3 linked regions of the Daphnia pulex genome follow. The protein of the gene in region 3 binds, or shares a complex with, the protein of the main gene of each other region. Links are inferred from orthologs where the notes say so. Each region holds a gene or a part of one and is shown on either strand. Other genes may lie near its edges. The genes, in order: DNA polymerase alpha catalytic subunit-like, DNA primase large subunit-like and DNA polymerase alpha subunit B-like.

The links.
Region 1: the proteins of DNA polymerase alpha subunit B-like (region 3) and DNA polymerase alpha catalytic subunit-like are in contact, whole or in part, in a cryo-EM structure (PDB 8G99), measured with the Xenopus laevis proteins. The link is inferred for Daphnia pulex from reciprocal best matches to the Homo sapiens genes POLA2 and POLA1. Residues at the interface, in XP_018112289.1 of Xenopus laevis: Met280, Tyr281, Lys282, Phe283, Met284, Phe285, Gln286, Lys287, Leu288, Met289, Ile291, Arg292, Val295, Ser296, Ile299, Glu314, Thr316, Leu320, Pro321, Gln323, Glu324, Thr325, Val326, Gln331, Gly333, Cys334, Asp335, Ser336, Asn337, Gly338; in NP_001082055.1 of Xenopus laevis: Gln548, Lys551, His553, Gln554, Asn555, Phe642, Glu645, Val646, Gln649, Asn652, Leu673, Gly675, Arg676, Phe679, Lys1137, Asp1141, Pro1143, Asp1144, Ile1321, Gln1322, His1324, Asn1325, Lys1326, Leu1328, Leu1329, Arg1332, Ile1335, Lys1336, Tyr1338, Tyr1339.
Region 2: DNA polymerase alpha subunit B-like (region 3) and DNA primase large subunit-like share a complex: the UniProt entries of both Homo sapiens proteins name them as parts of the alpha DNA polymerase complex. The link is inferred for Daphnia pulex from reciprocal best matches to the Homo sapiens genes POLA2 and PRIM2.

What each region holds. Positions count from the first base shown.
Region 1 is NC_060022.1:1,986,479-1,994,493, forward strand, and holds the start of DNA polymerase alpha catalytic subunit-like, read left to right. Parts: upstream 1-2,625; 5' UTR 2,626-2,819; coding exon 2,820-2,859; intron 2,860-2,924; coding exon 2,925-3,113; intron 3,114-3,177; coding exon 3,178-3,359; intron 3,360-3,436; coding exon 3,437-3,561; intron 3,562-3,637; coding exon 3,638-3,716; intron 3,717-3,774; coding exon 3,775-3,891; intron 3,892-3,978; coding exon 3,979-4,112; intron 4,113-4,182; coding exon 4,183-4,306; intron 4,307-4,363; coding exon 4,364-4,528; intron 4,529-4,636; coding exon 4,637-5,002; intron 5,003-5,072; coding exon 5,073-5,277; intron 5,278-5,340; coding exon 5,341-5,612; intron 5,613-5,672; coding exon 5,673-5,786; intron 5,787-5,845; coding exon 5,846-6,026; intron 6,027-6,085; coding exon 6,086-6,691; intron 6,692-6,750; coding exon 6,751-6,890; intron 6,891-6,956; coding exon 6,957-7,171; intron 7,172-7,247; coding exon 7,248-7,512; intron 7,513-7,588; coding exon 7,589-7,769; intron 7,770-7,842; and 3 more. Other genes in the region: putative zinc finger protein 66, read right to left, coding at 9-180, 382-533, 611-815, 883-959, 1,027-1,122, 1,184-1,266, 1,334-1,607, 1,705-2,304. UniProt on the Homo sapiens protein: Catalytic subunit of the DNA polymerase alpha complex (also known as the alpha DNA polymerase-primase complex) which plays an essential role in the initiation of DNA synthesis.
Region 2 is NC_060018.1:6,168,169-6,176,399, reverse strand, and holds DNA primase large subunit-like, read left to right. Parts: upstream 1-3,334; 5' UTR 3,335-3,493; coding exon 3,494-3,647; intron 3,648-3,712; coding exon 3,713-4,050; intron 4,051-4,121; coding exon 4,122-4,352; intron 4,353-4,422; coding exon 4,423-4,572; intron 4,573-4,645; coding exon 4,646-4,828; intron 4,829-4,897; coding exon 4,898-5,093; intron 5,094-5,158; coding exon 5,159-5,457; 3' UTR 5,458-5,869; downstream 5,870-8,231. Other genes in the region: DENN domain-containing protein 5B-like, read left to right, coding at 1-45, 114-300; fucose-1-phosphate guanylyltransferase-like, read right to left, coding at 544-1,163, 1,226-1,525, 1,590-1,724, 1,798-1,881, 1,955-2,149, 2,233-2,478, 2,569-2,629; b(0,+)-type amino acid transporter 1-like, read right to left, coding at 6,430-6,497, 6,580-6,748, 6,809-6,958, 7,040-7,136, 7,696-7,799, 8,074-8,197. UniProt on the Homo sapiens protein: Regulatory subunit of the DNA primase complex and component of the DNA polymerase alpha complex (also known as the alpha DNA polymerase-primase complex) which play an essential role in the initiation of DNA synthesis.
Region 3 is NC_060020.1:1,703,376-1,711,687, forward strand, and holds DNA polymerase alpha subunit B-like, read right to left. Parts: upstream 5,116-8,312; 5' UTR 5,055-5,115; coding exon 4,976-5,054; intron 4,712-4,975; coding exon 4,492-4,711; intron 4,424-4,491; coding exon 4,375-4,423; intron 3,857-4,374; exon of another isoform or gene 3,588-3,856; intron 2,668-3,587; coding exon 2,552-2,667; intron 2,401-2,551; coding exon 2,115-2,400; intron 2,062-2,114; coding exon 1,794-2,061; intron 1,733-1,793; coding exon 1,501-1,732; intron 1,435-1,500; coding exon 1,234-1,434; intron 1,177-1,233; coding exon 990-1,176; intron 925-989; coding exon 793-924; 3' UTR 674-792; downstream 1-673. Other genes in the region: PHD finger protein 10-like, read left to right, coding at 5,720-7,299, 7,358-7,542, 7,599-7,670, 7,729-7,910; diphthine--ammonia ligase-like, read right to left, coding at 7,994-8,217, 8,283-8,312. UniProt on the Homo sapiens protein: Accessory subunit of the DNA polymerase alpha complex (also known as the alpha DNA polymerase-primase complex) which plays an essential role in the initiation of DNA synthesis.

The sequences.
Region 1 (8,015 bases), on a different chromosome or scaffold from region 3:
AGTACTACCTGAGTACAGGTAGTGGTAGGAGGGCAGTAGCTAATAGCTATGGTGCTCAGACGTAAATACCAGTCTTGCTGAAAATTACGCCTGCCCATGTGCCTGTCTAGGCGGACTACTGATTCAACATCCAAAGTCCGAACACTCTGATCCGAAGGCGCAATAACCAATCCAAAGTGACTTTAAGCACATAAAATTATCCAAAGGTACAGCTAAAATTAAGTTCAGACTTCAGACATATCAAATAATGTTTTGAGGAGGTTCATTGAGACTAAATAGTAAAGACAAAAATATGGTCCTTTGTGTATTTACAAATTTCAAAATGGGTTCTATAAATCAATGCGAAGACTGGCAATTAAAGGAGAGATGTATTACGAACATCACGAATTTAATGATTCTTCCAAGGAAGGAATTTCTTGAACATCGTCTTGATCAATAGAAAATTGTACTAACATAGGCCCCACACCGGATGGCTCCACAATATAAGTGTTTACAGGGAGGACTTCTAAAGATTCTGCTTCTATGATGGTTACCTAAGTATTTTCACCGAAAATTTTAACATTAGTAAATTCTTTCCCAAATGTAGATTACATTAGATACAATTACATACCTCGTGATCTGTATCAAGAAAATGCGCATCATCTATATTTTCTATGTAAGCAACATTCTGCAAAGTTTCCAGGCCCTGGTCCTCAGTATCTCTTTCCAAATCTGTAGTAAGCTTATTGTTGCAACGCTTGGCTTCATGCAGTTTTAACATTCCACTAGTTTTGAAACTTTTGCCACAAGCCGAACAGTCTAGTGACTTCGAGGAGCTGTTTAAATAATGATGTTTACCTCTCACCAGTATACTGTAGGTAATGCAAATGTTTTAACACATACCGATAATGTGTAGCTAAATGGCACGCTAAACGATGCGGTTCACGAAACAGCTTTCCACATAGATCACAACAACAGGGCTATTGAATAATCAAACAAATTTAGTTAAATTTTTAACACAAAAAGTTATTGATGTAACCAAACAACCTTCTCCCCAGTATGCACTTGTAAATGTATCTTTAGCACGTTTTTGTGAGCGAACGTCTTTTCACAGTAGGGGCAATTGTGAGGTCGTTCTCCGGTCTGAATTAATAATTAAGTATTATTTATCGTCGCAATAATTTATTAATACTTTATTATTTACGTGACGCATTCGGTGTTGTTTCATGTGACAAGAATTCCGAAATTTCTTCCCGCAAAACTCGCACTCAAAAGGCGCTTTCCCGCCTAAAAAATTTGGTTATTACTTTATGAGCAAATATGAATTATTTTAGTAATGCAAGATGGAAATTACCGTGCATATCAAGGTGATGTCTCATAACAGCCCTTGTCTGAAAAGATGCTTGACACACGTTACAGATGTAAGGTCGAGTTCCGAAGTGCTTAAAAACATGTTCGACATATGGGAAGTAGGAGGTCATTTCCTCTTCACATTGATCACACTTAAATGGGTTCTGACCAGAGGGAGTTAGAAGTTTTGCCAATTCTCTCATATTTTGCAAAAAGGTGGAAGTATCTGGTCCACAACCAATTTGGTCTGGAACAATACACTTGTCCATTAGTTTTACCTATATTTTTAAAAATTAAATTTTTAAATTTTTTGTAAGTTGAAATCTTTATATTGAATAAAATTTGTGGAGGTAAAGGAATTCAATTCACTCCAACCTGAAGAAGTTCCAGTGAGGCTTCAAGGGTAGATCTTTCTTCCTCAACAACAACTGCTTCTTCAAATGCCTTGGTATTAACAGACGAAGTAGAGTATTTCTTGTTTTCAATGACAAATTCAATTGCTTTGGTTGGCTGTGTTATTGACTTGTTTGAAGTGGCAAAATTGTTATTGGATGGCTCCACATTTCTGTGCTTTTTAGCTGAGAATGTGCTTCTTAATTCAAATACCTTCCCATCTACTTCATACTGCAGTTGTAAATTCTTTTGCCTGTTTATTGTGATGTCATTCTTGATTACTTCACATGTTGGTGAAGGTTTTCCTACATGTTGATGTTGTTCCTCTTTATCACAATTGGAAAAAGTGAGAGTCCATTGATTTTTGCTTGGAATGAAAGAAAATACTCCCTGTATTGCATGCGAGTGTTCAGTTTCTCTCGATGATTGTAGTTTATCTATATCAGAATCCAGTTTGAAGTCGCAAAATCCACAGTGTTCCCAAGTGGTTTCAATACTTGGTTTTAGCTGCAAAACCATTTGTTTACCTTCTTGTGCTGTTTTCAAAACACCGAGAATCTCTAATCCCTCACAACTTCCCATCTTGATTGATGGAAGATTTTGTCCCCTATTACAAATTACGACACTGTTTATTTTGGCTTAGCTTTGGATTTTTCTTCCAAAGTTGGTAGCCAACAGCTGTTTCATTCATTACTCAATAGATGACTTTGTACTATGTAAAAATAATTAATTTTTGATTTTTGATTTACAGATTACATCATACTTTTGATTTATAACTTTAACAAAAATGTAATTCAAACACAGTTACTAATTATCTTTATAAGTTTATAACATTTGTAAACTTCGAATTGTGAGCCAGCAATTTTTATTCGGCAACGCCGCGCCATTAGAGAATTACGCGGGAAAGAGCTGAAAGACTAATTCGGCCATTTATGTGTAGACAACTGTGCCTTTTGTCCAGTGTTCCTGCATTATAGCTTTTATCGGTTGATTTTCGTCTTTCCTGATCGTTTCAAAATTTTCAAGACCTGCATTAGAAATTTTACTCGTCATTTATTGAGTGTTTTTTTATTTTGTGTTATTTTTAAACCATTGTCATGGCTGATGACAAGGAAATTAGTCAAGAAAAGGAAAGTGGTGAGTTACCTTTACATCTGATTCATTTTCGTGTTATTTGTATTTACCACCTGATTGATTTTCAGGTCGTACACGGAGAACTAAACAAGACCGTGAAGGGAAATTTGCAGCCTTTCAAAAGCTAAAAGACTTAAAGGGTACTAAAAACAAAGTTACCTTGACGGAAGTTGATAATGTTTATGAAGAGGTTGATGAAAGAGAGTACTCCAAACGAGTTCAAAGACGACAAGAAGATGATTGGATTATTGATGATGGTAATAGAGTAAAGCCAAAATTAAATTATAAAATGCCTTGTTCACAAAATATTTTAAAAATCAGATGGAAGTGGATATGTTGAAGATGGTAGGGAAGTGTTTGATGATGATCTGGATGATGATAATATGGCCCAAGCCAAAGGAGCAGCCAGGGGTCATAAGAAGAAGGACTTGTCAAAAGGAGTTCCTGGAAAAAAAAATAACATTAAAAATATGCTAATTGGCATGTCCTCTAAAAACAAAGAGGTCTGTTTTAGCACTTATATGAATGTTTTATGGAATTTCAAAGGTTTATTACTTTTATTACTGATTTCACTTTTTAGAAAGATGCCAAAACTAAAGATGATGACATTTTAGGAGACATCATGCAAGAACTGAATTCCACCCCTTCAAATGCTCCCTTGAGGCAATCAGTTTCCACTCTTAAAAAGAAGACCATTACTTCTGGGTACCAAAAACTATTAGAACTAAATTAGATCATGTTTTGATTCTGTGTTTTGATTAAATTTTTTTGAAATGATTAGATCGTTGATAAGTCGTACACCAACTTCGATCCCACGGATAACCAGCACTTCAGTGGCATCGAGGCTATTGAAAGCAGAGGTATCAGAAAAATTTTTTCTTTAATTTTCCCCTGTAAACTCCGTCCTATTCCCTGCAGCCCAAACGTCTGCCTTTTGGCAGAGGGGCATCCAATGTAGAAGACAATACCTACGACTGTGCATCAATCGAAGATTCAAATTCATTATGCGATGATAATCCTTTTATAATGGATGGAGTACGTATATTATTTTATTTCTTTTCTAATCTATTTAATACTAATAATAAACCGTTCCATACTACCTTCACTTTTATGTGCTGCCAGCCTATGGACATCGACCAGTTCGATTCGCAACCAGAAATCAATACGCAATCAAGTGAAGCCTCAATTACGACATCTTATACTCCCTGTGAAGAAAGTATTGATCTTCAAGAACTGAAGCAAACTCCTACCATCAGGTTTGTCGCATTTCCGCCAATCTAATATTTATTTTAGATACATTCTTTCTACTTGCTGATGTATTTTTAGCGAATTCGATCTTACTTCGGGATGGGAAACCATTAAAAATAACGTTGACGTTAACCAGAGTGTAGCTGTTTTGGATTTAGGGAGTAATGAGCTTCCCTTGACTCAAGGGGAAGATGGAGAACAGGTTCTATAAATACTTGACTGTTATTTTGCAGTTTCAACTAACAATTATGTTAAATAGTTTTTGCGCATGTACTGGTTCGATGCTTACGAAGATCCGTATATGCAACCTGGCACCGTGTTTCTTTTTGGGAAAATTTTCATAGAGTCGGCTAAAGCGTATGTCAGTTGCTGCGTTTCCGTAAAAAATATCGAGAAGCATATATATGTACTTCCACGTGATACGGTATACACATCTTTATCTAACCTGAAAACTTTTGGCAAAAACTCAACTTGCCAATATCATTTGTATAAATTCATGTACGGAACATTTGTCGCTTTCCTTTTTCATCAGGTTGTCGATCAGCGTACTGGCCAGGACACGGGAACTCCGGTTAATTTTATGGATGTATACGAGGAATTTAATACGCGGGTAGCAGATCGCTACAAAATTTTGCAGTTCAAATCACGGCGTGTATTGAAAAAATATGGATTCGAACCACCGAGCATTCCTCGCGAGAGCGAATATCTTGAAGTGAAATACTCTGCTGAACATTCCTTGCCTACGAATTTGAAAGGTGCAACATTCAGCCACGTCTTTGGAGCCAATACTTCGGCATTGGAAAACTTTTTGTTGGAAAAACGCGTTAAAGGGCCTTGTTGGCTAAACATCAAGAACCCCCAGAAGGCCAACCCGCATGTGAGCTGGTGCAAAGTGGAGGTATAGAAAATATTTTTTTAACGAAATCAAAATCGAAAATTAATTAATATGATTTTTATTTTGTATTCAGGCGTTTGTTTCTAACATGGATCAAATTGAGTTAGATGATAAAAGAGAAGCGCCGCCTCCATTGGCTGTAATGGCGCTTAATTTGCGCACTGTCGTCAACAATCGCACTCAGCAAGTGGAAATTGTCGCCATCAGTTGTTTGATACAAAACGAATTTCATGTAGACCGTGCTGCTCCTCAACCTCCGTTTCAACAGCATTTTTGTCGTAAGCTACAATTATGGAAACGATTGAATGAAGATACATGTTTAAAAAAATCAATTTTCGTAGTTGTAGGCCGTCCATCTGAAGAACCTTGGCCACTAGATCATCGCGATACCATGAAAACGACAAAACTAACGAAAATAGAACTAGCCGAGAACGAACGAGCCCTGCTTAATCTTTTTCTGGCCAAAATTAACAAAATCGACCCCGATGTAATTGTCGGGCACGATGTAGCTTCCTACGACTTGGACATACTTCTCCATCGTTTCACCCAGAACAAAGTAGATCAGTGGTCTCGTCTGGGCCGACTACGTCGCACCAATATGCCTATGTCTAAGGTTTGCTTAGACATTAGATTAACACTCAAGTAAGAATAATAATAATAAAAAAATTTAAAGGGTGTCAGTCGCAGTCATCTTGTCATGAGTGGGCGTTTGGTGTGTGATGTGAAGATTTCGGCAAAAGAACTTATACGCGCAAGGAGCTACGACCTCGAAACGCTGTGTCAACAGGTTTGATAATTGAACCACACCTTATACATCTCAATTAATGCATTGTCTTGTTCAATAAGGTTTTACATTTAAACGGAGTTCGCCCAGATTTGAGTTCAGATTCTGTTAAAAAGATGTACTCGACTTCAACCAGTCTGTTGGGAATGATAGCCATTACTATGCAAGATGGCGCGAACACACTAAGATTGATGTATGAATTAAACGTCCTTCCCTTAGCTTTGCAAATTACTTCGATTGCAGGTAATTCGAAGGAATCGATTTTAATGAAAAGAATTATGCAAATTTTTCTAATATTTTAGGAAACTTGCTTTCTCGAACTCTTCTGGGAGGTCGTTCAGAACGCAACGAGTATCTATTGCTCCATGCATTTCACGAGAAGGGGTTTATCGTTCCAGATAAGCAGGCTTTTAAAAAATCAAAGAAAGGAGAAGATTCTGATCCTGAGGATGTTTCGACTGAAAATGCTAATCGTAGCAAGAAAGGTCGTCGGAAACCAGCCTATGCTGGTGGTTTGGTTCTGGATCCCAAGCGAGGTTTCTACGACAAGTTTGTTCTTTTAATGGACTTCAACTCGCTGTACCCGAGCATTATTCAAGAATTCAATATATGCTTTACCACTGTCGATCGACAAGTAGCAACTAAAGCAACTGAAGGACAAGAAGAAATTCTTCCCGACCTACCTGATCCGACGTTGCCCCTTGGCATTTTGCCTACTGAAATTCGAAAGTTGGTTGACAGTCGACGTGAAGTGAAAAAGCTCATCAACGATAAGTTATCTAAGGATCTTTTACTTCAGTATGATATCAGACAGAAAGCATTGAAATTGACGGCAAACAGCATGTACGGCTGCCTGGGATTTTCCAATTCACGTTTTTACGCCAAACCTTTGGCCGCGCTTATTACATGTAAGTTACATTTCAGCTTTAACGTTATGCATTTTAATTTCCATTGCATTTTTCTGTAGCCAAAGGACGTGAGATTCTACTGCAGACTAGGGATCTTGTCCGTAAAATGAATTTGGACGTCATCTACGGAGACACTGATTCGTTAATGATAGATTCTAATTCAGTTGACTATGATCAAGTCATGAAAGTGGGTCTTAAGGTAACCATTATCAGCAGAATTTATTCCTAAATGTTATTTTATTCAATTGTTTGTTGTTTTGTTCAGATTAAACAGGAAGTCAATAAGTTGTACAAACACCTTGAGCTCGACATTGATGGGGTATTCCAGCGCTTACTTTTGCTGAAGAAAAAGAAATACGCAGCCGTTACAGTTTCTCAGGTGATCCGTGATAACAAAAAAGAAATGGTTACTCAACAAGAGGTCAAGGGTCTGGATATTGTACGAAGAGACTGGTCGCAGCTTGCTACTCGGGCTGGAAAGTAAATATCTTCAGTATTGATTCTTTGGGCTAGCGACAGCATCTATATTTATTTATTACAATTTGGTTTGGTCCAGGTACGCACTGGAACAAATATTAGGTGATTTATCGGCAGATGAACGAATCGCTCGGATTCAACAAAATTTAGAAGATATTCGTGATGGATTTCAGAACGGAACCATTGATCTCTCTTTGTTAGAGATTACCAAACAGCTAACTAAGAATCCAGAAAATTACCCCGACGCAAAAAATCTTTCTCATGTCCAAGTTGCAATCAGGACAAATTCCCGGGGTGGTAAGAAACTTGTACAAGGCGATACAGTTTCGTTCATCATTTGTCAGGTATTTAATGACTCGATTGAATTGCCAATGCAATAAAAACAAAGTTTATAAACATATGAACAAACTTGTGAAATAGGACGGAAGCAATATGGCCGCCACTCAACGAGCGTATTCCATGGAGGAACTCAAGATGCCAACAAATGGGCATTTAAAGCCTGACATTCAATATTATTTGGCACAACAAGTTCATCCAGTTGTTTCTCGATTGTGCGACCTTCTAGAAGGAATTGACGCTGTTAGAATTGCTGAATTCCTTGGTAAGTTGTCATTGTAATTATTTAAAATTTTGTATGGTGAGACCGCGAGAGTTAATAAATGGTATTTGTGCAGGCATCGATGCTTCTGGATATCGATCGACACAAGCAGCCAGCAACGAATACGAAACTGGTAGTCCTCCGGTGACTGACGAAGAAAGATTTCAATCATGTGAAAAGTAAGACTCATAAAATTTAATCAGGAAAATGGATCTTTGACAAATGAATTTCAACGTCTAGGTTTTATTA
Region 2 (8,231 bases), on a different chromosome or scaffold from region 3:
TGGAAAACGAGACAAGCAACAACTATTCCTTTGTCTTGCAGCAAGGTATGTAGATCTGTTGCCTTTGAACCTTTTAATCAATCCCAGATTCTTACTCTCGAATGCTTTAAAAGAGATAGGATGCTCCATCGGATTATTGGTCCTTTGGCGTCATGTTCGTCCACGTTGACACACTATGATGAGAATTCCTACTTGAGGGACAAGCGCTTACGCGACTACCTACAACCTCTGTTACAAACTCTAAGCGAAGAAAAGGTAAAAATTGTTCTGGAAGCGTCCATAACGCGGGGCATCGATTAGATTTTAATGAATAACTATTCCTCGATAGAAAATTCGCGATACATTTTATACGTATTCTGTTTTGATTTAAATGTGTAGATAGACTGGGTAAATTTGTCTGTTTATTTTACAATTTCAAGCGAAATGTTCCAATATGATTAATGGGTAACATATATGTACGTGTCTGGTCTGGTGAATACACCGAATAGTCGTCGAAAACGTAACATTCTGGTAGACTTTCACTTTGTTGTATTCAGCGAACTTTTAGGTTAACATATGGAAATTTATCTTCCGTGAAACATTTACTCTGTGCTGCATCATTGCTGGTATGTCTTTCTTTTGAACTATGTCTTCCATGCTAAAACGCTGCAGTTTTCTCATTTCATTGGACTCGGCATGTTCTAGTAAGTTTGTTACGCTTCTCCAGGTTGCGGTAAATGATTGACTCATTGTCTCGTGAGCTTCAAACAATTTGGCCTGCCACTGCGTAGAAGTTGTGGACGCTAAACTAGTGCCTTTCCATCCATGACTCTGCTCTATGGTTCCTTTCAAGTCATCATCCACTCGAAAGGCAATAGTGACGTAGAGCACCGAATTTTCTTGCTTCACTGCTGCAGTGTGAAACATCCAACCAGACGGAATTACGTTAATCACCGGATCATCAATCAGACAATGACTGACAATAGTCTGCTGCTCGCAGATAATCGGTACATTTACAATGCAACTATCCATAATACTATCTTTCATCATCTCGGCATCTGCTTCTATGCAGGACAGAGTTACAATTCCTTGAATTCTAGATGGATTTCTGAGGAATGATTGAACGTGTAGCTTCATCCCCAACGTCTGGAATAGTTCGGATGCAGGATTCAGATTTTCCAGATCTAGAAATAGTACAGAGTTGATGTATTTCGAGCACACACACAAACGGGTAAATAATACTTACATTCTGGCATAGTTCCTAAATGGTAGAAATGCGATCGCTCCAAGATCAGAATGTTCAGCGATGTATCTCCGAAATGACTAGCAATTTTGCGTTTGATTGTCGAGGAATTAGAAACATTTTTCCAATACAGTTTTTGTTCGGCAGGACGAGATCCCATGCAGGCTAGAAAATCGCCGTATATACACGTTTCGTTGCGGTAGAGATCCTCACATTCCTCAGCAAACGCCACCATTTTCCTCACGAGTCCTGGTCGGCACCAAAACATGCTGTCGGTATATACTCTTTCCTCTTCATTATGGCCTTCAGAAAAGATTTTTTTGTAAAGCGCGATAAAGCGCAACTTGAATCTGACTTAAATTCTCACCAAATTTAAATAAAGCCTTTTTTGTTTCCATAGTGACATAATTCGGTTTCTGTAAAACTTCAAGGCAAGGGCTTAGCCTACAATTCTCCTCATTTCTACACCACTCTGGAAGCACGTACACACCATGCGTATTTCCTAATTTTCAGAATGGAAATACTAATTTTAATTTTTTTGAATAATTTCTAAATTATGATCTAGGAGCTCCTACCTATTGCAATAGTGGATGGATGACCAATGGCTACAATTCCATCTTCATCTAGTTGGTTAAACTTTTCTTCAAGACTTTCAAGACCTGAGAGATAAATTATTATGTAATACCAAAAAGGACAAATGAAAAAAAGAAAGAAGAATTATTAAACAATTACCTTCTAAACAAAAAGTTTCTATATCATCAGAAGCACAAATAAATATTCCTCCATTTTTCATCAGTTTAAGAAAAGGTGAAGTAATAATAAATTTTAAATTTAGAAGTGTTATTGCTTTTCCTTCAACTTCTAGTGGCAATGGACAAAATAACTTTCCAGTACAGCTTAAATTTGGTAATCTTTTACTAGATCCCCCTAAAATAAAAATATTTTTTAAAGAAATAAAAAAAATAGTATTAACTGAAACATGTAAGTAGGCCTATAACATCAATTCCTACCAGCATGACTAATCCAAATTTTCATCTCAAATAGATCATTGGCAAAAAGTTTTTTTAAATGTTTCAGAATATGAAAGGTAGATCCACCTGACCCCAAAGCATATCCAGGACAATCAGCAATGACTAAATATTTAGTAGCCCTTGGTATTTCTCCATTTTCCAGTTTCTCATCAATTTGCTGTTTGAAACATTCTTTTTGTTCTTCATCTCCGGCAGATATGACTACACAATCCCAAAAACCATCGTCTAAACAGATAAAAGGTAAAATGTCAAACAATCTCACTGACTTGTGATAATTTGTGTGATGGATGAAGTTTTTACTTGTTAAAAACTAACCTAAAGATGTTTTGTTAAAGTTTTCCGCTAACTGAACCATGTACTTCTGGATTCGTTCCATTTTTGTGACTGTTGTAGCATTTTCCAGGACGACGTAGGCTTAGTAACTTTGCCACGTAAACACTTTAAACAGTCCAAATTTCATATTTCAGGTAAAAACACAGATGTTTATTGACGTATTCAAAACATGGGAATTCAGAGACCCCTGGAGGGTGTTAGAGAAAGATAACACGGGTAATTTATCGGACTTCGGATATGATTCTGAGCCTAAACCTTTGGGAAACGAAGTTATTTACTGATACAGATTTCTGGAATTAAATATGTTTTAATTTTTGACGAAAAAAGCGAAAAGTAGTAATCATTTTCATATCACAGGTAATGTGTCGTCTGTCTCGTGTCCCGTGTGGTTAGTTTGAATTGCAAAACAACGAACTCTTATAGACATACCATGGACATACTGCAATTAGCGAACTCTTTCATTTTCATAGAGGCATTCGCACTTAATTATTTATGGTCCAAAATTTAATTACAGTCGTCGCAAGCCCGCAGCTGCGTGAGACAATGAATTGGGTGAGGCAAAGATTAGATTTCCTGCAATCCTTGCAAAATTCTAATTAATAAAAACTTTGAATAACTTTAAAGCTATTTAATATGCATGATTTGTATCTAGCAAGTTCGCAAGTCTTCGAATTTATTTTAGAGCGGTTGCATTTGCATGCAACTTGCAATCAATTTGGAATCCTTTTTTTTTCGCCAATTTTATATCTGGCATCACCGTTGCTTTAGTTTGAGCGCGAAAAGAGATCTTTTGTTGTTTCATTTACCGTCTGCTACTCTGCTTTATGTTAAGTGTTAACCGCGCAGTAAACTTGGTAGAAAAAAAATTTTGTTGAATAAATTCCGAGGGAAATAGTTACTTTTAAAAATGGAATTTCAACGCAACACAGTTCGGCGAACTATAAAAAATTCTATGAAGCTAAGAAGTGAATATCCTCATTCTCTGCAACTATATTCCGTACCTCCCAGTGAAACCATCGGTTTGCAAGAACTTGAAGATTGGGCTGTCGAACGTCTCAAAGGTATAATAATTGGTCATAACTTCTTATTAATTACCTCCGTAATTACTTCAAATTTTTATCAACAGTTCTTAGGACAATAGAGCGTGTCAATCTGAGTAAAAATGCCAGATTCTCTGATGATTGGAAGACTGCCCTGAAAAATGATTTACAAAAGCAGAACTTGAACAGTTGGTATCAACTGAGCTCAAGTATCAAAGATGATAAGATGGATGAAATCATTTCAAAAACACGACAGAAAGATCATGTTTCTCACTTCTTGATGAGACTTGCATATTGCAGGACTGAAGAGTACAGGCGTTGGTTCATTGCTCAGGAAACTGATCTCTTCCGCTTTAGATTTTCGATGGAAAGTTCAGAAGATATCAGGGCATTTATGAAAGAAAACAAAATGAATTTTCTACCCGTATGTAGAGATATTGCAAATATTCACCAAATTATTACTTATTTAATTATATTTCACCAAACATTTTACAGATTCCAGAGGAAGAAAAAAAGAAGATATTGACTAAACTTATACATGCTGCCCAATTTAATGCCAATAAAGTTGATGCAGTGGAATATTACAAGGTTCCCTTTACAGAGGCTTTAGATTTAGTTCGCCATCGCAAAGTATACTTGCAAGCCGGATTTGCATACATTCCAAGCGAGGACCTCGTTTCCATAATCACAGCTATGTTCCGCTCTCATTTATCACTTGCTATGGCGGTAAAAGAAAATAATTTTTTAATATTCACTGAATAACTTATTTAAAGATATTTTTTTTATTGGATTGAAGCTTACTATGCGTTCACTACCAGAGCTAGAGGACGATCATCGAATCCGTCGCTTACTGAATGACTTTGATAAACGATATACCGGTCAAGATTTTAACTCTCTACAAAATAAATCTTCTGGTGCCGCTGTAACACCAGAAATGATTGATGGGGTAAGACCAACAAATTTCCGTGCTTGCTTTATAAAAACAAAAATAGTAAATCATTAAAATGTATGATTTGCAGTTGTCAAAACAATCTTTCCCACTCTGTATGAGACATTTACACGAGACATTGCGTTCTACTCATCATTTAAAACACGGCGGACGTATGCAGTATGGACTTTTTGTCAAAGGAATCGGACTTAGCTTGGAAAATTCATTGAAGTTTTGGAGGGAGGAGTTCTCCAAAAATATGGATATGGATAAGGTTGGTAAACCTCCACCGAGGATCAAAGTTTCATCAAAACTTCTCCTTACATTTCCCTATTTCCTTTAGTTTGAAAAGCAATACGCATACAATATTCGCCACAATTACGGCAAGGAAGGAAAAAGAATCAATTACGCACCTCAAAGCTGCATCAAAATCATTACTGCCAGCGTAGGTCCGGGTGAGAATCACGGTTGTCCGTTCAGACACTTTGATGCTGCCGTCCTTCGACAGAAAATGACAATGAATCGTGTTCCTCAGCCAGGTAGTAATTAATTTCATATGCATGTCTTTGATCACGTAATTTAATTTGTTTTGGTGCCCTTCTAGCGATTCAAGAAATAGTCGATCTAGTGACACGCCATCATTACCAGATTGCCTGCCAGCGGTACTTTGAAGCCACGCACAACACCGAGATTGATAGTGGTATCCAGCACCCAAACCAGTATTTTATCGAAAGCCAAAAGATCCTCAACGGTGAAGTGAAGGAGAAAATCAAGGGAGCGAATAAGGTACAGACCATTCGTGCTACTCTTCCAGCTAAAGTAGAGAAACTTGAAACAAATGAAAATGAGGTTCTCAGCGAATCCGTTTTAGCAGCAATTGATATGGATGATGATTTCAACTAAATAGTTTAAATCAACTTTTACTTGAAAGCCGTACAAAGGGTTTTATCGATAAATTGTATCTAGCTAGAAGTATTGCGCACTGCATTCGGTTGATCAATAAGATTCCCCAACTGAATAAGCTTGCCTTTTAGAAGTTTGTAACAAAATCGTAGAGATCGTATGTTAAGGCGCGTTTGAACTTAACTTGAATATCTTTCCCACGGCATCAGATGTATATCATTTCTTATCTAAAATGTATCCCTGAAACTTTGCGTAATTGAATTTTGTAAACTCAAAGTTTCATCCGAAAAGAAAGTTTTGGTGCATTATTTGAAAGGGAAACTTGCGTCCGCTCAAAGTACTTTTTGAGGTTGGTGTGCTTTTTCCTAATCGTCAAAAATAACTTTTGGAACAATAGAATAATAGAGAGAGACATACTTCGTGATTGGCACTTGTGTATTTTACTTTTCGGTATGCATGCTGTACAAAATTTCACAGTCACTAAACGCTGAAGTTTACAATTCAGTGACTTTGATGTTTTTAGTACACGGAAGCTGCGGGATAAAAACTTTTAAGAAAGTCTAATTAACGAATCCCTGTTTTGAAATAATCTCGCCACATTGGGGAGAAATTGAACGATCTAGAAAAGTAATAGTACTATGGTTTTTGTGTATATGCAAAAAAAAAAACATTCTAAATTAACAATACAAACTTTGTGTCTTTTGGTAAATTTCGATCAAATTGTAAAATCTCCTCAAGCTCATCGTTTCAGCATGATACCAATTATGAAAAAAGGGATGACTGAGGAGAAGGGAAAGACGACCATTTTTTAATATGTAGATTGCATGGCAATCATCGTACCAACACAAGGTTTTAACACATGGCCGGGAGTAACAATAATGTACACGTAATAATACCGCCACCTAAAGTGGTTGACCTATACACGGACATTTTTCGGTTTGTCATCGCTTACTTGATCGTTGCGGTAACACGTTAGTCTTCCGCCATAGACGTTGACGGAGCCACTTCCAGCAATAACTGCAAGAATGTTGTAACATAACCTTTACAGAATTACAAATGATCAGTGAATTAATTGTGTTTCCTTTTTCCCTTTTAGAGATTTTCAATTGTCAAAGCACTTACTCATTCCGGGCAACACTTTCTTATAATAAACGAAAGGTACGTAGAGAAGGAATCCAGCCAGAATGAACAAGGTAGCGTACAAATACTCGATTTTCGGATTGTCCACGATTGGCCCAATGACCAGGTAAACGGAAATGATTAGCACGATGACAGGAATGATAATCGGTACCTGCATTTCAAATTATTGTTATTCTTGTCTTTTAATTGGCTTTCCAGATTTCAACTGTACCTTGTAAGGCCTGGGTGCGTCCTTTTTGGTGAACCTCATGACGATCAATGCGAGCATGGCGGCTCCGTAAAAAATCCATGCCGTGAAGCTGAAAAAGTCAATTAGGCTGGCGATATCTCCTGGGATGATCATCATGAGCGCAACGGCGCTCTGTGTAGGCGTAAGTAAGGAAGAAATTTGTAATAAATTCCATGTTACGCTGAACTTTTAGTAGTAATGATTTTTTTTTACATTGAAAAGGAGCGCAGGAGATGGAGTCAACCGACGGATGTGAACATAAGAAAGGACGTCGACTAGATGCCCTTCTCGACTCGCCACGTAGCACAACCTAAACGAACGTAATTATTCATTATTTTCTAGCGAACGTTCATTAGTGATCAGCAGCGTCGTTCTACTCGGCGTTAAGCAAGGTTAATTTAACCAAATGGAGCGTTTGAGGAAAATCAAATTCTCCTACCTTCCACCGACGAAGAGTGTCCCATTAGCACTGCCGAAGCAACTGATGCACACGGCTAGTGGCATCAACCAAGCTAAGGTACCCAGCGCTCGAGTGCCGAAAGTCTGTATCCATCACCAACACCACCCCGACCAGACATTCGTTTTAGCAAGAAAGAAAATGAAAAATTGAGGATAGAAAAATAGTCAACCCCGAGATGGCGTTCAGAGACAGATCGCCCACGACAGACAAGTGACGACGGACACGGGTCGGAGGATTTAAAAAACAGGAATCAATTTCAAGTTTGAAAACTAACTACTCTCTACCGCAGAAACATGCAAAGCAGCTTAGTTGATTATTTAATAATTAGCGAGCGAACAAAAGCTAATTAATTATAATAACAAGCAAGCACTATTGATCGATGATGAGATGGACTGAGATATGAATCAACCTTCCGGCTGTGAAGAGACTTCCGTTGCCAGCGCCGAATGTGGACAAGACAACACCTAAAGGCATCAAGAACGCCATGGGACCCAAGAGTCGATTGCCCCAATCCTGAATGGGTAAACAAAAAAATCACACAGAAAACCCATGCAGTTTTAACGATATAAGAAGCCATGCTGTGTTGACTAGTTTAAAGTAAACTACAAATTAAAATCTATGAATCTCTACTAGTGCTGTGGAAGTTAACAAAGTCATCTTTGTTATATTCATGCAGCAGTTAAAACCGAAAGACGTTTGAAGAATGAGGGTTTGCATGATTTTTTTTCTCAATAATCCATGCCAAACTTAAAACGAAAAAATGTACAAAGTAAAAAGAATTGCGTACCACGGCGACGGCTTCGGACTGCATCATCTCCGTTGGCGACAGGACGGCCAGGTATGCCACGTTGACCAAGACGTAGCAGGCGGTAGTCAGAGGAATTCCAATCATGATGGATCGAGGAAGATTCCTGATTTAACCATGTCGAAAATTCGATCCCGAAC
Region 3 (8,312 bases):
GTTCGTAACGTTTACCTTGAATAAGTGAACATTCTCATTCACTTCATCAGGTACACAGCATGCACACAGTCTCACACGCTCACTCTAGTTCCATATCTGATCCAATAAAGATGCACAAAATAAAATTTCATGGAAGAAATTCCTTCTTTTTCAAACTTGGATTAAATATCCAATGCAGGCAAAACAGCCTATGCCTCACTTCTTGCACTGACGTGATCTGGGAATCCTGGGCTGTTTCAATTGCTTCCTAATTTGACTGCTTTGTTTCAACTACGTGTAGGGTGGCAGGACAGTCAAGCGTAACACAGATACAACAGTTGAGCACTCGAATAACAAAATAAAACGTGACGGAAAACCAGACAGCCTTGCTAAACTCCCGAGTCCGACCTTTGTCTATGTGGCTATGTGCCGAGTGCCGACTTTTCGGCTACAGACGAACTTCCGTGAGAACTAGAAAACGGTGTTGCCAATTTTGATATTCGATCTTTAATTTCCGAAAATTGGCAAATCACTTTTTTTTAAATGTACCTAGTAAATTGCTTGGTCAATTTATTAAGTTAAATACATTTGAAACAAATTCCTCTCTCCTCTTTTTAAACAAACAACATTTATACAAGACACTGTTAAAGAGTACCCATATTCAAAACAATGAGAAATGAAACAAAACTGTTAATTACTGTTTTTCGTATTTATTGTTTACTTGGCTTGTGCTTTTCATTTGATATGTTGGTGAATACCGGAGAATGAACTTAAAATATGAACGAGTTAGGATATGTGCTGAATTACGTAGACTTAGATTCGAACAACTTCGGCCTTAACTTGAACAGACGAGCCTTCACCAGTGATCTGGAGTCGAGAATAAGTTCCACCAGAAATACCTTTGACTGCTCTTTCCGAGTTGATTACTACGCAACCGTTGACATTCTATATAAAATGTACAATGTAAAAGAAGGACCACAGAAATTTCATATTACTGAAGTTTAAATTACCTTGATAAAAAAGCGTAGATCAGAGGGAACCACCAATAAATGTGGTGTGAATGTTAGCTTGCAGTAATCATCAGCATGTTCCATATCGACACTCATTTCTTCGGCTGGTGGATTCAAAGGATAAAAAGACTGTTGGCTGAATAGGTGGGAGACCAGTCGGCCCATCCTATCGGAACCAGGTGGTGCACTGTTAACAAAAGCGGGTAAATTTCAATGTAAAATTCCTGGTCTGATTTTATCTTACACCGAAATTTCTTCTTTGCTAAGATGAAAGAGAATATCAGTTGAAGTCAAGGCGATAAAAACACCTTCTACATTCAAGACACATGGGTCTGAGAAAAAGTGGAAATTCGGTAATTTATTCTCTTGCTGAAATGGGGGAGTCGGATAGACTGCCCTGTAGTGAACATCTCTCCACGACGGAATGACACAAACCTGTACATGACTTGAAAAAAAAAAAAAAAAAAAATTAAGTCTAATTAACTCATGATTTTAAATATAATTAAAATACTTTGAGATCTTTGTCTGAAGTTCTTTCATGACTATTTCAAATTGTTCTTGGTAGGTATGATCAAGTTCTCCACTCTCCACTTTTTTGTTCTTGACATCTAAAAATGGTCCCATAATGATAACCAAGTGCGGAAGGATTGTGTTAATCTGCTGGATGAATTCAACAAGTGGCGCAAATTCCAAATCGTCGGATAGCGTGAAGGGCCCACACGCTACCATCACATTTAGGGGACCTAAACACGAAAATATCTAATATTGACATGTAAAAACACGGGAGATATGATTAATGGCCACCTTCCAATGAAACGTCGGTTTTGAAGACAGGATTTATTGGTGGAGTGGTTATAGAAGTAACTACCATCTTTTTTCCAGTCGGATTACTACCCTCAACAGCTACTACTTGACCCGGAAAAAAAGAAAACTCCTTGAGCTGCGAGACATCAAGCGGAACACTCTGCCCGGAAGATATCATTCGGGTTCCTTCAAGCAATAATGAAGCTGTATTCAATCGAGAGCCGCTGGTCGCATCACAACAGATTCGGCCGATCGTTTGGAAAGCATCCTGAAAATTAATTATTCATTAAATCACCCAAAGCTAGTTAAAATTATAACTACCGATTTGAGAACATTGTTGGATTCGAATTCTTCGATTCCAAGTTTTCCTTTAATTAAATCTCCAATAACATTGATCTGTTCTTCTAAAATGTCGAACTTATCTCTCATTCGACTGAACATGTAATTATATTTGGTGGTTAATTTCGTTTCGACCGTGCCATGAAGTTGAATTTTCGGTTGCCATCTTTCGTTGGTTCTTGTCCAGTCGAGGACCGCGTCAGCTGGATACTTGGCAACAACCTCACCAGAGTTGTTACGTGTCGAAAACTTGCTGGATGTGCCAGGCCTGTTGAAATACACAGAACATTGCAAAGACAAGTCTACACTATTTCGTCTACTAATATGTAGCGTTCGGTCAATGATCCTATTCTTTCCGACCAGTGAAGAACTGTTTCTTTTATACTGGGCTCATGAGAAGACAATAAAACCTTAATTACGTGGAAGGAGAGAATACAGAGGGACTGTGCACAGGGTACGCCTGACCCAACCCTGCTAGACGCTTGTTCTGCGGGGTTCCTTCCAATCCGCTTGTCCTTTTGGCTCCCACCGACGACTGTCAAAATTTTAGAATACAACAACGAATTATCCAAATGAACACGAGATTTTTTATTTTATTTCGACATAATTTTATTGTCACATGCATAAATTCGATTAAATTTAAATTGTAGAATGGCTGGGTCCCTTTAGATGAGTATGGATCTAGTCATGAATGACGCGCTGAGAAAACACATGCACTAGAAACAGACCCACCTAGAGAGCGCCCAACCTTCGCCATGGAATTTCCGATCGATCAAATAAACCGTCATTGCTGCAGAATTACATGGAAAAAGAAATGACAATCATCGTTACATACAGGGGACATTCGCTCACATTTCCGGTTCCGGTTTTTATTTTTACGTTGCCGAGTAAAACTTCCAATTGTTCACAATTGTGGGGGGGGGGACGATTTCCCGCGCGGAAAAAAATTCCATCATCATCCCCCCTGGACGACGGGGCAAACAATGACGACAAAAGAGCATTAAAAAGAATCAACAAATCAAAAAAATGTTAAGTCAAGAGCTTTGGGTGATTGGTCCAGCCTCGTCTGGTGAGTATGGATCTAGTCATGTACACTCGGAATACAAAGCCGATGAAAAGCCATGTCACGAGAACCATATCCACCGAACGCGACTGGATTGTTGAATAAAGCAAATAACTCTACACTTGATGGGAAAAATGGAAAAGAAGGAGATTAATCGAGCGACACCAGGTAATGGCGACTGAGAGACGCGCGTCTCCAAAAGAAAAGAAAATGCTTCCCTCCCTGCAGGTACAGGTGAGGGAGAGAGATCGAGTCAAAGAGAGAGGTGGAGTGGAATGGGAAAACGACCGTTGTAGCTCGAGGCAAAGTCCCTGGGAAAGCGCAAGAAAAAGGGAGGGGCCAAGCTAAGCAACACTCGCCAACAATGGAAAATTCGTTAAAACGAAAGAAACTGTTGATCGTCTAGACTTTCTGATGTTTTCACCTGGCTAAAACGGATTAACAAACACACAGAACGAATCGACGTTTTTCGTTGGGATTGTTGGGAGCGAAGATGGCAGTGATTCAAAGGCTAAGACTGCGCACTAACTTTCTTTCTGGGAACAAAAACACGTCGACACAAGAGAGCGAAGAACGTGTGTGCGCTCGTGGGGGAGGTGGGTGAATGAGGTGGAGGGGTTCGTTACACACCAAAGGCTATACTCAACACGCACGCACAAAGGTAAAGAAGCCTCTTCTTACCTATAAAATTCCTATCTACCAATAGAAAGAGAGTTCTCTACCTCCCCTACTCTTGAGCAGCAGCAGCAGCAACAGTCGAGGGACAAATCATCTCCACCCATTTCAGATTCTTTTTCGTGTTTCTCTCTTTTTAAACTTTTTCCAACTGCTATTTGCATGAAACCTCATCAGGATGGGGACGGTACCTTCTTATATCGGTTAACTTCTTCCATCCCTTTCTGATTAGTTTTCCTCGACAACCGATTTGGAAATTGAGAGAACTCAACAAAAAGAAATGGCCGCAGTTGTGTCAGCAGGTAGATGTGTGTGCGGAGGTTCCGAGTGTAGCCCACGGCGACACACGAACGGTGGAGGGGAATATTTGACCTTGAAAAAGGCGCCACGATGCTTTGTGAGCCAGGTAGATTTTTGAAAGGCGCTTTTTTTCAACCTTGTACTCTGTACACAATCCATCTCCCAAGACCCTTACAGTATACAAAGAAAAGGAACTTTTTTTACCTTCCTGGCAGGTGTTCCATAGCCTACTAGAAGCTCATCATCTTCAGCTCTGAAAGGAATAAAAGATAAAACATTTAATATTAAGACTGCTTTGGGAAAAATCAAGCTCGACATTACAACTGATTGATGGTGGTGATGTTGTGAATGACTGGAGACTCGCTCAGAGGTTCACTTTTAATTTTGGTTTTGGCGGATAGTTCTTTGGAGAGGTCATTTTCAAATGCCCCCAAATTTTCCAGCGAAGGAGCTTCATTATTTAATTTTGTGGCAGCAAAACCAATCCAGTGATTGACTAGGGTATCAGCAGTGATATCGTACTTTTTCAACAGCTCTGAACCTGTAAAAAAGTTTCAATCAACACTATATAAAAATGAAATTTTGCATCCACAAAAATAGTAAAACTACGAAAATTCTCTACGACGTTAAATAAGGCGTCTCTTTACTGACCACGCTCTGCCCTTTTGCATTCGTAATCATACATAAAATGCTCAAAATTGTCACACTGTACTATGGCATAATTCACTCAAACGAAATAACCTCCACGACAGACAAATCTAAAATCATAATGAACCATCAAGAAAGATTAAAAAAACACACTTACATTTAATCAAGACTTTGAGATTGGGTGTTAAACCAAAATCTTCAAACTCATTCAACAAGTTGCTGTGATCCAACTCCATGATCTGTCCAATGGTTCTTCAGAGCGCAGACGCATAAGAATAAATAGTTCCCTCGTTCCGAATAGTCCCCCATCCTATCGTTGGTGGCGTCACTGCCGCATGCTGCTAAAAATGCGGCAATCTTTTGTTTCTTGAAAAACCAGTTATTCATTTTATTACCTCAATAGTTTCTTGGAATTGTTTTAATATCTTACAAAATTTTACAAATTCATTATCATTCGTCAATTGAAACTCTTTATTTTCTCCTACTTTTAGAAAAAAAATAAATTGAAAAGATTATTCGGAATGTTCTTATAAATCGATTGTGATAGAATCGATACGTAAATGCTCAACGGAAACGAGTATAGCCAAAGGCTAAAACCGGTGGCTTGTAGTGTGTCATCCAATGTTTATATGTATCAACAGACTCTTTATTTCTTAAAAACTTTAAAAGTGTACTCAGGAATTCAAAATCCCATCTATATAGCACAAGATATCGTCTTCGGACTTTTTTAAATTTACAACCTTACTGACTGATAATTTACGAAGTAATTCCTTTGTTTCTCTATAAAAATCAATGTTGTTGCAATTACAATTTCAAATGTTTTAGGAATGTGAATGTGTGTTAACTTGTCTCATTGGTATGTTTCAGATCCCAAGACTCACTTTAAATTTGACTATTTACAATGGAAGTTGATGATGAAATGCTTCCTCAAGATGAGGTTGAAGATGCAACAGCAGCGGAACATGAACAAAGTTTTGAAGAAATAAATGAAGAAGATCAAACCTTAGAAGACAGTCAACTAGATGACAATGAGGTGTCACAAGACCTCTCTCTAGCCAGCCAAAGTTCACATGAATGTGCAAATGATTCAAGTGTTGCATATTCAAATATATTAGACAGGTCCACAGCCTCGAACACTCCAGGAGCAGATGAAGAAGAAAATCTTGATGGTGCTGTGGGTGGTAGACGGAAATACAAACGAAAAGTTTATGATTTAAATGCCACCAGAGAAAAGCTCCCACGTCGTGCCAAAGATATTCCATTTGAAGCTGATCCAGATTTTGTTAAAGTACCCCCACCAGCTCAGCAAAGCAGAGGGAGAGGCAGAGGTCGTGGTCGAAAAAAACTACCGGTTCCCGAGTTGCTTGACACCAGTGCACAATCAGTTGGAGAGAATATTGAGCCTGTATTCAACACTCCGACAAGGGGACGCGGTCGTCCGTCTACCTCTACCGGTAGAGGACGTGGACGTGGACGAACTCCCAAAACTCCACGTGGGGCTGCCCGACCAAGACTCCCAAAGTTCCAAGTTTTAGAAGAAGATACTAGAATGAGTGTAGAAAACTCTTTTAGTGGATCAGCAACGTTCAGTTCTCCCGTTCAGAGTGCAAATGAATCTCCGTGGAAAGCATTGAGTACCTCAAGCGCAAAAAAGAAACTGGGCACTCGTGAAATCTTTGATGCCAGTTCGCAAACACCAATTACCGCTGCACAACTAGTGGAATACGCTTGGCCGTGTGAGGATACGAATGCCGAACTGTGGATGGTCCAAGAGCAAGTAGTTAACTATTTGTCAATTAAAGGAAATTTCAAAAGAAAATATCCAGATATGAAGCGTCGAGCAGTGGAAATGGTGGAACGGGATTGGCTTCGGGAACGAAACGTAGTTAGTGAAACGCAAGCTAATCTCGGACTTACTGCATTGTTGAGTTGTGAGGTGCTTGATCTCTTTTTCAACTTTTTCCCTGAAAAATACGAAGAATATTTAGCTGCTCAAAGCGAAAAGAAGGAACAAGCTTACAAGTCAAAGACGAAAGGAACTACTCCAGTGGCCACTCCGGCTGCACCAGCCGAGAAAAAGTCATTCGATCCACGTCAGCGGGCTATAAAAGCTGCGGCTAAGTGGAATGTTATGTTCAACAAGGAGCGTGTTGAAGAACGATTGCATTGTCTCGACTTACAGACCTTTACAGTTCAAATTCCAAGGAGGGCGGCTGCGCTCAAGCCAGTCAATGCTCCTTCGGATCCTTATCCAGTAGCAGTGATTCCTGGGCAATTTTCCTCTTTCTTTAAGACTTATAGCCCTTACCAGCTCAATTGTTTACCAATTGGTACAGTTATGAGAGGACCACTGGTTGGTCAGCCAGACATTTCTCAGAGGCGGAAAAGGCGGCCGACGAACGGGTCTTCCACCAGAGCCGATTCCGCTGCTGCAAGTCAGACGGAATCAGATGATTCTAGTTCCTCGTCAGATGATTCCAGGTATTATGAATTCCACTCTATCAAGGGAATCCTCTTAACATGTTATTATCAATTTCAGCTCTGATTCCAGTGACGATGATACCTCAAGTTCCAGCGAAGATGATGACGACGATTCAGACGATGAAGATCGCCCTCAGTACCTTGGGCAGCCCGGCATGTGTAAAATTTGTCGAGGTGATAGACGGCGGAACAAAACAGGACATCCCGAGCCTCTCGTCCGTTGCGCCAAATGCCAAGCTGATGGTGTGTTATTGAATTTTGTAATACCTGTAAACAATTACAGCACTGATTTGTTTTAGGTCATTTAACTTGCTGGAATTTGGACATAAGTATGATGCCTCAAGTAGCCGCCTATTCGTGGGAATGTAACGGTATGTTGAAGAAGAGTTTCACATCAAGATTGGGTGATATTTTTTAAATCTTTTTCAGATTGCAAGACTTGCGATCAATGCCATGATCCAGCTGACGAAGAGAAAATGTTGTTCTGCGATTTTTGTGATCGAGGATATCACACATATTGTGTCGGATTGCGCAGCATACCAGAAGGGCGGTGGAATTGTCCATTTCGTTCCTGTACTGACAAAGCCCAGGCCAAATTAAGGAAAAAGTGAGAAATATCAAACGAAAATATTGCACGTGTCGTCTTATAAAAATTGATTTTTGAAATAAAATATACTGTCATTTTTTCAAAAATTCAAAAGTGTATGCCACAAACAATAACAGCTTGTCCCGGTTCAAATCCACAAACTGGGATCAAAGTTAATGCAATAGATTTCGGAATTACATCTCTTAACATTTCCCAATTATAACCATTTTGATCAATCTTGTAAAAGATTCTTAGAGCATGATTTTGACCCAAGTGTTGCGCAAGCCTTTGGTAAAGAGTAGTCCATTCATTCACATCATTAGGAATATCCACTAAAAGGTAAAAGCATTATTAAATAAATATTGCAACAGAAAAATGGATTAACGTATATACGTACATAACTGACAAATTAAAGCTGTTGCGTCTT